3 linked regions of the Rattus norvegicus genome follow. The protein of the gene in region 2 interacts with the protein of the main gene of each other region in a pairwise test. Links are inferred from orthologs where the notes say so. Each region holds a gene or a part of one and is shown on either strand. Other genes may lie near its edges.

The links.
Region 1: the proteins of Appl1 (region 2) and Adipor1 interact in binary tests that used the Homo sapiens proteins (3 or more experiments, as listed by UniProt). The link is inferred for Rattus norvegicus from reciprocal best matches to the Homo sapiens genes APPL1 and ADIPOR1.
Region 3: the proteins of Appl1 (region 2) and Fshr interact in a two-hybrid assay, tested with the Homo sapiens proteins (2 studies listed by BioGRID). The link is inferred for Rattus norvegicus from reciprocal best matches to the Homo sapiens genes APPL1 and FSHR.

The regions. Positions count from the first base shown.
Region 1 is NC_086031.1:48,428,866-48,431,840, reverse strand, and holds the end of Adipor1 (adiponectin receptor protein 1), read right to left. Parts: intron 1,851-2,975; coding exon 1,657-1,850; intron 1,402-1,656; coding exon 1,273-1,401; 3' UTR 590-1,272; downstream 1-589. UniProt on the Homo sapiens protein: Receptor for ADIPOQ, an essential hormone secreted by adipocytes that regulates glucose and lipid metabolism. Required for normal glucose and fat homeostasis and for maintaining a normal body weight.
Region 2 is NC_086034.1:2,152,781-2,156,433, forward strand, and holds part of Appl1 (DCC-interacting protein 13-alpha), read right to left. Parts: intron 929-3,653; coding exon 782-928; intron 1-781. UniProt on the Homo sapiens protein: Multifunctional adapter protein that binds to various membrane receptors, nuclear factors and signaling proteins to regulate many processes, such as cell proliferation, immune response, endosomal trafficking and cell metabolism.
Region 3 is NC_086024.1:10,950,977-10,955,248, reverse strand, and holds the start of Fshr (follicle-stimulating hormone receptor precursor), read right to left. Parts: upstream 2,921-4,272; 5' UTR 2,851-2,920; coding exon 2,699-2,850; intron 1-2,698. UniProt on the Homo sapiens protein: G protein-coupled receptor for follitropin, the follicle-stimulating hormone. Through cAMP production activates the downstream PI3K-AKT and ERK1/ERK2 signaling pathways.

The sequences.
Region 1 (2,975 bases), on a different chromosome or scaffold from region 2:
GTGACTGACTCTAGCACCAGCAAGACAGTGCTGAGCTCTAGGGTACACCTCAGCACTGGAGACTATTAGTAACACCACCACTGCCAGGCAGTAGCTGTGCACGCCTCTGAGCTCAGCTCTTGGGAGGCAGACGCAGGAGGATCTCTGTGAGTTTGAGGCCAGCCTGGTCTACCAAGTGAGTTCTATGACAGCCAACCCTACACAGAGAAAAACCAGAAGTGCCTCGGTAGCACAATGATTTTCTTTCCTGAGACAGTCTCGTGTACATAACTACCTCCTTGGCCTTAGTATTATAGACATGACTTACCGTGCCTGACTTATCTGACAATGGCGATGAAATCCAGGGCTTTGTGGGTGCCAGCACACATCCTACCATCTGAAGGACACACCCAGTCTGCATAGTAATCCCCCTCATCAGGAGTCAGTGCCGTACTGAGTTGTATTAGAGATCAGAGGCTAGGAACTGAGTTATGCCCACTTGCTGACCACACACGTCTCACTGTAAGTCTCACTGTAACTGTCCATATGATTCCCATTTGTGTCTCAGTAGGAGTTGTGTGCAAACAGTTGAAACAACACACGTTAACTCTTTGAATGCCAAGCGGTCTGTACTTTCTTTTATTATCACCATAGTCTTTGCATCAAGATACACAGCAGTGATAGCAGGTTTCTTTTTAAAGCTTAGTATTAAATATTAAATATCTTCCCCATTTTAATTTTACATTACTCTGCCAAGAAAAAAAAAAAAAAGGATTTAAACTCAAGTTACTTGAAGCCTGGACATACTTCCATGATTAGCCGGGCTACATCAAGGCGTGGCTTTGTTTGTCCTAGAAAGATGGGACCAGGTTATACTTGTTTCTGAAAAGTGTGCTACAAAAATGGATGGCCTGTCATCCGCCAGGTTACAAAGTAAGGAGGAGGGTAAGGGAGGGATATTTTCTTCAAGAAAAAACAACACTTAATTTCTGAAGAATCCCAGTTCATAATTTTTTCCCCAAAATGGCTGAAGGAATGGGTAAAATCTCAACATGAGCTCCCACGTCCTGTCTGTGAAGGACCAGCAGTTGCCTTGCTGAGGTGACTGCTAGGAATGCACATGGGAAGTGTACGGCCCGGAGGCTGTGCCAGTGGGCTGAAGGGTCACTGGTGCGATTCTCTAAGAGGTTTCTTCTAGAAACAGACAACTCAGACTCTTCCTCGTACTTCAGCAAAGAAGTTATTTTTAAAAGCACTTGGGAAGTTCCTCCACCAACCCTCAGGTGGGAAGGCTCAGAGAAGGGAGTCATCGGTACATCCACCCTCTAGGCCGTAACGGAATTCCTGTAGGTTGGACACCCCATAGAAGTGGACGAAAGCCGCTGCCACCACCAGGACATGGAAAATCTGATGAGACTGGAACTGTGGGAACAAACAGAGACCCACCTTTAGGACGGGGAAGTCGGTGGGAACATTTGGCCTCTTCTGCTTTCTCCTTAAAAACTTCTTTACATCAGATAAGTGATACTTGTTCTAGAACATTATAAGAAACTCTGAGACCTGTGTTGATCTTGCCCATCCTCAGTACTTCATGACCCGAATCTTACCACCTTCTACTCAGAGCTCTGACTGGGCCAGTCACTCACCACACAGGCCCTGCTAAGAGTCATGTCTTACCCATATGTCAAATTTTCCAGGAAAGAAGCGCTCAGGAATCCGAGCAGCATAAAGGCCAGCGCCGGTGATGTACATCACAGCCATGAGGAAGAACCAGCCCATCTGGCCCACTGTGGTGGCCTTGACAAAGCCCTCAGCGATAGTAAAGTGCATGGTGGGTACAACACCACTCAAGCCAAGTCCCAGGAACACTCCTGAACAGAACAGACACGACTGTCAGCAGGAAGTAGCTACGTGAAGGCGCTGCCGTGAATCTGGAGTTGATGTATTTATGAAAAGCAACTGTTCTCTCAGGAATTACATGCTTAAAAATGAAGGACCTCTTTTGACCTCTGTGGACACCTGCACACACATGGCAGACACAAATCACACATATACAAATAAAATAAATAAAACCAGGAGCTAGCATAATGGTGTACTCCTTTAATCCCAGAACTCAGGAGGCAGAGGAAGGTGGATCTCATTTAGTTCCAGGCCAGCCTGGTCTACATACCGAGTTCTAGGTCAGCCAGGAGTTAAGACTCTTTCTAAAAACATACAAAATTTGAAAGACCACAGACACAGACAACATACACACCAAAAACAAACAAACAAACAAACAAACAAACAAACATTTAGAAAAGGTTTGTTAAAAGTCATCTGATGGTCAACTTGGTCAAGACCAAGTGTAGCTCCAAAGCCAGAAGAGTAGGTTTCCCATTAAGATCATAGAAAGGGATGAAGAGGTTGGAGAGATGGCTCAGGAGTTAAGAGCACTGACTGCTCTTCTAGAGGCCCTGAGTTCAAATCCCAGCAACCACATGGTGGCTCACAGCATCTGTAATGGTATCTGATGCCCTCTTCTAGTGTGTCTGAAGACAGCTACAGTGTACTTATATAATAAATAACTCTTTCAAAACAATTAAACAAACACCCATTTAGTGTAGCGGTGTTTGCTACCACTAATAACTTCCCAGCACCCAGGTTGGGCAACTCACACTCTCTGTGGCCTCCGTGGGCACATGCACATGCATGCTAAGACCACTCAACCCCTTAAGTCCAGCTCCAGAAGATCTCGGCCTTTATGGGCACATGCACAGATACATACACAGTAAGACGCATAAATAATACATCCTTTTTAAAAAAAAAAATCATTAAAAAACCTGCACAGAGTCAAGCCAGTCAAAATCCCAGCATGGGCTGGGGTTCAAAGTCCCATCCCACAGGAGCTAGTGACAGTTGAGGGATACTGAGAAAGTGGGTTCTTTTTCTGAGGGGCATGGCCACTGGGAGACTGTTCGTGCTTCAGTGATGGCCCTACGTGGGCAGCACTCACTGAC
Region 2 (3,653 bases):
CTCCATCCCTTCAACTACTATTTCTGACTCAGGAAGTATGTGAGGAACATGGGACAGATGCAAACCTACTCATTCTTTATCCGTTTGTTTGTTTGTTTGTTTGTTTGTTTGTTTTTCCAAATGGTTTCTCTGTGTAGCCCTGGCTATTCTAGAACTAACTCTCTTTGTAGACCAGGCTGGCCTTGAATTCAAGAGATCCTCTGCCTCCCAAGTGCTGGGATTAAAGCTGTCCACCACCATGTCCGATTCAAACTTGTTCATTCTTTCTCAGGTTTCTAATGAAAAAAAGCTCCAGTTATTAATTCCTCTAGCTTTCTGCTCTCTGTCTCCAACTGAGGTGGGAAAAGTCTTACTACAATGTACTTCCATTTATTTAAAACATTTTATATCTTCATTTGCAAGAAAAAACATTCGCCCAATCTTCTTAAAATAAGACACTCATGACAGTCTTTAAAATTACTTTTTAAAACCACAATACAGGGGCTGGAGGGATGGCGCAGTGGTTAAGAGCACCGACTGCTCTTCCAGAGGTCCTGAGTTCAATTCCCAGCAACCACATGGTGGCTCATAACCATCTGTAATGGATCCAATTCTCTCTTCTGGTGTGTCTAAAGACAGTGACAGTGTACTCACATAAAATAAGTAAATAAATCTTTAAAAAAAATAAAGTAAAACCACAATACAAAACTGTTGACAACAGTTTATTATAGCCCTATAGTTAATACAAAAATCAAACTTAATACAAGGCTTTTAGGACAGATATAATCCAAAACATATTTACCTGAGCCTGCATGTATCCAAGCAGAGGTTCTAACAAAGCTATTTTCTTCTTGTACTGAAGAGTATTTAGTGCACAAAAATAATGCATCATGGTCTGGTGTTGCTTTTTCCTGGAAGTATACACATCCTCTGTTACTTCATACTTTACCTTTGAATGAAAAGAATAAAATATTATTTAATTTTGAATTATCTCCAGTAGAGTGGAGAAGAGTCTTTCAAGGAAAATGGAGAATCAATAATTACTGAACATAGCCTTCCTGTTTTCTACTCGATTGGAAACCCATTAACATACCAGGTCAAGTCATTTTTCTGTATACCAACCATATCACTTACAAAACACATATCTGCATGCAACTATAAATGTAGGCATCTGCACTAACAGGACAGAGTCACCATATGGGTTACTATTTAGCCAGCGATGTCTGATCTGAATCAGCTCACAGCACAAATTCTCCCCTCCTGGTTTTCTCCTTACCACTCTTTTTCTCTACCTGCTTATTTTTCTTGACTCACACTTAAAATACATATGCTCCCAAGTTATTTCACCCAAACGACTTTTCTTTGAGCATTTATAGAGCCTACTATGTATTAGGTAGGCTCTTTTCCTTCTCTACTTGGAATACCTATCAAGTTTCGACATTATCAGTGCACACTGGCCTGGTGGTGTGAATCTGTACCTCCTCTCTGGCAGTCCCTGTCCCAAGTGCCAGAGAAAGGAAGGCTGGGTTCTTTTGTATATAAGAATGAGTGTTTATGTACACTGAGAATGCATAGACTGAAAATAGCTTCTTCCTTACAGCAGCTGTCCTTCCTTATTGTTCTTTCCTCTCTCTAGGAAATGTCAATGTGGATCTCACCTCCTACTATAGGACTTCTCTCTTCCAAAGCAGGGCTAGGAAGTGAGTCTCAGTGCTTGCCTACCATTAACAAGGTCCTAGTGAGAGATAAAGAACAAGTCTCCAAAGCATTCTTTTATAACAATCTTCTTTGTGACTGTGCAAGGAAGTCTCATATCCCACTGGTATCACTCTAGCACTCTCCCTTTCATGCTGTTATTATTGCTTTGGTTATACAACATAACTAACTGCATGGCACTATTTACCTACCTAGAATCCTTCCCTGACTATTCACTTCCTTTAACAAAATTTCAAGGTGGTAAATGCAGCAATCTGGCTCCAAACTATTCCTTGTTAGGTTTTGACAAATGGGATTGTTGGTCTGTTTTAAGATAGTGTCTCATTCTGTACCCAAGTTAACCTTGAACTCCAGGGTGGCCTCAAAGTTTCAGGGATCCCTTGCCTCCCAAGAGCTAGGATCACAGGTGAGAGCCATACCACCCAGCCCCCAACGACTTTGTCAACCTCTCCCCAAACCCATCCTGAGAACTGAGAGGTGATCACCTCCTGTTGTCAAGTAATGATAGAACTCAGTGAAAACTGCTGCTCTGCATTCACTGCCTAATTTCACCATCACGACTGCTGCTCTGTGGGTCCCTCTTCTGCACAGAGAAGAAAGGCATGGAACCAAGTAACTAGTGCATGGCTTCAAATAAAGGAAGAGCAGGCCTCAGATACGTCCCCCAAATCTCACTCCATAGCCAGTACTCTAAACCTTCACAGTGTTCAAACTCCAGAGCATGCCTCTACAGAGAGACCGTTTTGGTTTGGGGGATTTTTGCTGTTCAGTTTGGGGCTTTTTTAACAAAAAGTCCTTTTCAATCCCCAAAGTGTTGTCTACTTAACTACATTGCACATGCAACCTCCTCAGGCTCGATCTGTACTGTCTAGAAAAATCTTTATTAGTGCATCTAAGTCATGTCACTGCAGTCTCTTCCTCCTTGTACTCCGGAACGCATTCACACTAAGCGTGCAATGAATAGGAGAGCCGGAGTGGTCCCTACTCACACTGTTCCCTGAGGAACTCAGCATACTGCCTGATAAATAGATGCTCAGTAATTTTTCTAATTCAAAAAAACATTAATTCTTTTTAAAATACTTGGAATAGCCAAAAGCAATATAAATATACCAAATTTTATAACCTAGACCTTTAAGTACCTCTCTAAGGCAAAATGACTACTATAAATCTCAAATTGTGTACGTTTATTGGTTAACTTGGGAACTAGAATTAGAAATGGAAAGCAGGGCTGGAGAGATGGCTCAGCGGTAAAGAGCACTGCCTGCTCTTCCAGAGGTCCTGAGTTCAATTCCTAGCAACCACATGGTGGCTCACAACCATCTGTAATGGGTTCTGATGCCCTCTTCTGGTGAGTCTGAAGACAGCTACAGTGTACTCATAGACATTAAATAAATAAATAATTCTTTAAAAAAAAAAGAAGAAATGGAAAGCAGCTTAGAGGAGTGATCACTCACTGTGTGAGAATCATTTCCTTTGTTGCCACAGCGGCTCCTACACAGTAGATCCTACTGAGCTGTCCACTTCCGTAAGTAGTCACTGTGTCTCTACCAGCAGCTGTGACTACGGCTGCAAATACCAAGTCCTGAAGAGGTCACCGCATTTGCAAGCATTGGTATAAGCTGTAACTCAGGACTTCAATCACCCAGAACTTGTAAATATTCTCTTCTTTGATCTTTAAATGCATTCATCCTCAAATATTATGTAGTACTTCTGGGTTTCATTCTTTGAAAAAATATCAAGATATAAACGTTCCCTTTAAATAGAGAAAGCCTTATACCAGAATTTCATTGAGTTCCATGTGTGACATTAACTGAAATATGTATGTGACTTACTTTCACTTGTTTTATTCAAGATTTTTAATGAATTTCCAGCATAGAGTGTTACCATGAATACCTATTTAAACACTCATATTCACACTTCCATACAACTAAATACAAAACTGAACTTTATCTCCTTTT
Region 3 (4,272 bases), on a different chromosome or scaffold from region 2:
CATATAGGCATTTTTCCATAGAAAGTAGTCAGAATACATGAATTACCCACAGCATGCAGGGGAGACAAAGACAGACTTAAATTTGGTTTAGTTCTGCATGAAGGAGCTGCATGGAGGTCTTTCCTGAGGTTGTCCCGTTTACTATGCTTTTGAGAAGCAACAGCAGCACCGTGCTTGCACTTCCATTGAGGACTTTCAGCGAACCAGTACATACAGAGCATAAAGCAAGCCACAGGAGCCATTTGCAAAATGGAATCCACTTGCATCAGTGCCCTTCTGGTCCTTCTGCCACTCACACCAGCATGGGCATATCAGAGGGTATGAGTGGCCATTGGTGATCACAGCATATAAGAGATATGAAAGGAAACTGCTACAAACTAGACAGAAAGGCCAGAGACAGACAGTTGTTTTCCACCATGTGAGTACTACCCCTTTTCCATGATGGTGGATCAATCCACTGGAGTCAGTGAAGGTCAACTAGTCAACCCAACCTTACCTGACATGGGCATCACTAAAGTCTTTACCCAAATCCAACACTGCACGATGCGTGAGGAACACCAGGCTGAGTCCACAATTTCACTTCCTTGGCAAAGCTCCACTTTACCCTAGGCCTATTAATATATGGAAAAAATGTTCTCTCCCAAGAATGTTCTTGTCATTCTCTCTCTCTCTCTCTCTCTCTCTCTCTCTCTCTCTCTCTCTCACACACACACACACACACACACACACTTCAAGCAGTTATCCCACTCTATCTTTTCCTTCACAGCACACTTGTCAAGAAGACTGTTGGGTTACACTTAGCAGAGTCTGATTTAAGCTCTATGGGGAGGAAGACATTTTCTTCACATAATCCCCAGAGTTTCCAAACTCATCCCTAGTTGGGAAGGCTGGTAGCAGTTAATGCCAAGTCAGCATGTATTTGTCTTTTCGTTTCTATGCATTTTCCTATATTGTATATAAATAATTAGAGCTACAAAGAGTCAAGAGCATGGACTTTTTTCTGCTATTCTGTTTAAGATTCTCCCAATTTCTATAAAATCACAACAGGTCATGGTCATGCTTTTTCCTTGGCTATGAAGTGCTCTTGAGCAGGGACGTATTTTAGTCATTCATATGTTAGTGTAAGAAAAAAAGAAACCATCTTGGGGCTCACTAAGTATCATGCACACATCTCTCCTCTCCTTTATTCCTTCCTTTTTTTATTCCCTACTCTTTTCCTCCCTTTTCTTGTTACCCAACTTTTTCTAGGCAGAATGGAAAAATCCATCTTCTTAAGAAGAAATTACTGTCACTAGACAGCCAGGCATGGGGGTGGGGCACATCTGGGAGTGTAGTGGAATGCTACTAAATAATTAAATGTATAGGAAATATTTACTTCATAACGTGGGCATCACTGTTGGAAACACAGAGTCACATGGGAGGCAATAGAAGAGACCCAGAGAGAGGTGAATCAGTGAAGAGAGGAAGGGATCTGTATCTATGGCACAGCCACCCAGACAAGCATTAAAACCACGTTCAAGGTAGAAAGCAGAGGCGCAGGGAGGGTATTCCTTAAAGGACTCAGGTGCAGATAACTTGCAGGAGTTCCGGGCACATTGGCCTTCCCTGTGTTTGGAGACCTCATACACTAGACTGGGTGTGTACACAGCACACTCTTCAGCATTGTCTGGAAGAACGGTCTCATCTGGGCAGTGTAGCCAAAATACAGAGCTGGTCAGTGTTTTCCCTTCTCTGCAACTGCCTCTGTACAGTAGCTGTTGAGTTGAGAGGTCAATGGAGAGTGCTAAATTCCACACATTCTCCTAAAAGGACAATCTGAGATTCCCAATCACAGCTAAGAGTGAAAAACTGGAGGTTGTTGGCCATCTGATTCCCACCTGCACTTCCTAAGGAAGTGTTACCGGAACAATCAAAGAGCCCATGTCTGGTGTGGCAGGAGAGAACTTTTTGAGAGGGCAGAACTCTGTGTCCTATGCTCTGGATCCCTTTCAACACGTTGTGAGAGTTTGAAAAATTCTTTGGTTTGTGGCCACTAGATTCCAAATTGCAAAGAGAAGAGATAGGACGAGGTATGTCCCATTCTTGTCCAATTCTAGGAGAATGTATACTTCCTGTTTAAATAGTTAAGCAAAACCTAAAGTTGGCATCACTTTCCCCTCTGTGTTCTTTCTCCCTCTTAGTCATTCTTCCTGCATCACACTCTCTCCCCTCACCTCTGACTCCCTTTCCCCAATTAAGAAGAACCTCAGAACCCAGAACTATCTGTGCTGTTTGCAAAGCCACAGGTGCTCTCCTTGAGATCCAGTGTGTGCAGCTGGCTGAGGCCAGCATTTCAGGCTTCCAGGTGTAGGTCTCCTAAGTATTCTACTCTGCTTGTTTTCCCTTTTATTTTTCCTGCTTCTGTAGGGAGTGTGAATTTACCCCTAGCATAAATATGTCCTCCAAACTACCCCTCCCCCTTTCCCTAAGATTCAAGTTTCCACACTGGCCTTCCCTGACAAATGCCAATATAAACTCTCGCCAACTCGCCTTGGAAAGCCACAGGACAGAAGTGTCTGTCTGGGGGAGTGTGTTCTACTGTAGCCTTTGGTCAGGCCAGAAATATTTCAGCCCAGCAGATATCAGTCTAATAGGAAAATAATAATAGTACTCAATGCTCAAATGGGAACCACACAGCTGTCCCCGCGGTGATACTCACAGTTCAATGGCGTTCCGGGGGAGGTCGGTCGGAATCTCTGTCACCTTGCTGTCTTGGCAGAGAAAGACCCTATTAGAGCAATGACACAGCCAGTGATGACATCCAGATCCCGTGCCCAAGAATGCCAGCAAGGAGACCAGGAGCAAGGCCATCCTTATTTATCCATTCACCGACTTTCTTTCTGCATCAGCGCGAAAACTTCCACAGATTCCCCAGGCTCCTCCACACACTGTCCGGATAAGAGAGATCTGCTTGGAGAACGGGCAAAGTCACGTGACCCACCAAGAGATGCCTTTTTTTTTAGTCGCTTCCAGGCAAGTAAAATTAATATGTGTCAATAGTGATTATATATATTAATATGTGACTAATGTGTGTCAATAATCTTCTGCTTTATCCTTCAAGACCTATATTTTTTATTCCTTGACCCCCAAAATGACAGAAAAGAGAAACTTGGTGCATATTTGAAGATATCAGTCTATAGCAGCAGATTCACATTATTTTGCTGCACAGGGGTCCCTACTGGTCACTACTGTCTTCTCCTCAGTGACATAATTGACCCTCTCCCCAAGCACATCCACATGACACATCTCTAACGTACTGATGTGAAGGGAACAAAATTTACCTTTAGTATTTGGTGTTGCTGTTTTCCTGTGTCCCATCTGATATAAACCATACATCTAGGCTATAGTCATCCTGTGATTTAACAACATAAGCTAGTGTTAAACAGACTTGGGGAAGGTGGGTTAGCACTAGGTCTCTGTCGGTGGGAGGCACCTGTGATAGGGTTCTCTGTGGGGACAAGTCACTTGTGTGACCTCAAGCACGGGCTGCTTCTTTATCCACTAGCAATGCATAGTCTTTCTGGCATCTGTCTTTCCTTTCCAGACTCTGAGAACTGCCTTTCCTTCCTATTTTATGAGTTGGCATGAATAAATTTATCATGTCTTTACTTTTAATTTTAGAGGTTTCCTGTGAGTGACACTCTAGGTATTTGCAGTGGCATTTTTAAGCTTAGTAATAAAGGTTGAGGAATATTTAACAAAAGTGAAGGGGCTTTCTACCTTCAACCCAGAGTCTATGAAGACTAAAAGCTTGCACATGTCTAAGATCATGTCTACAACTTATTACCTGCCCAGACCGCCTTCAATACTATCTTTGCACACAGCAAACATCATCTCCTGAAAATAATGAAAATAGATACACACACACACACACACACACACACACACACACACACACTGTCCTTTTTACTTTCCCTTTCCTATCCAAGGAAAAATGACTTTTAATGAGTAAATTAAATCATTTCAAGGAAAACAAAGGCAAGCCATTCATTTGAGGATGGTGGATGTGATCTGGCTTCCAATTGATTGACTCTAATTTTGGGATAGAAAGGTGTGTCCCTATTAAGTATGAACCCTATACTATTAGTAATTTGGCTGAAAAGAACAGTTAAAGGAATTCGCTCAATAACTCATCCAACTAATTAGTATGTTTCAGGTGTAGAACTCAGTTTAGTCAATTAAGTCAGTTTTATCTTAAAGTATGTCTGAATAACTTCAATGACAAGAAACTCT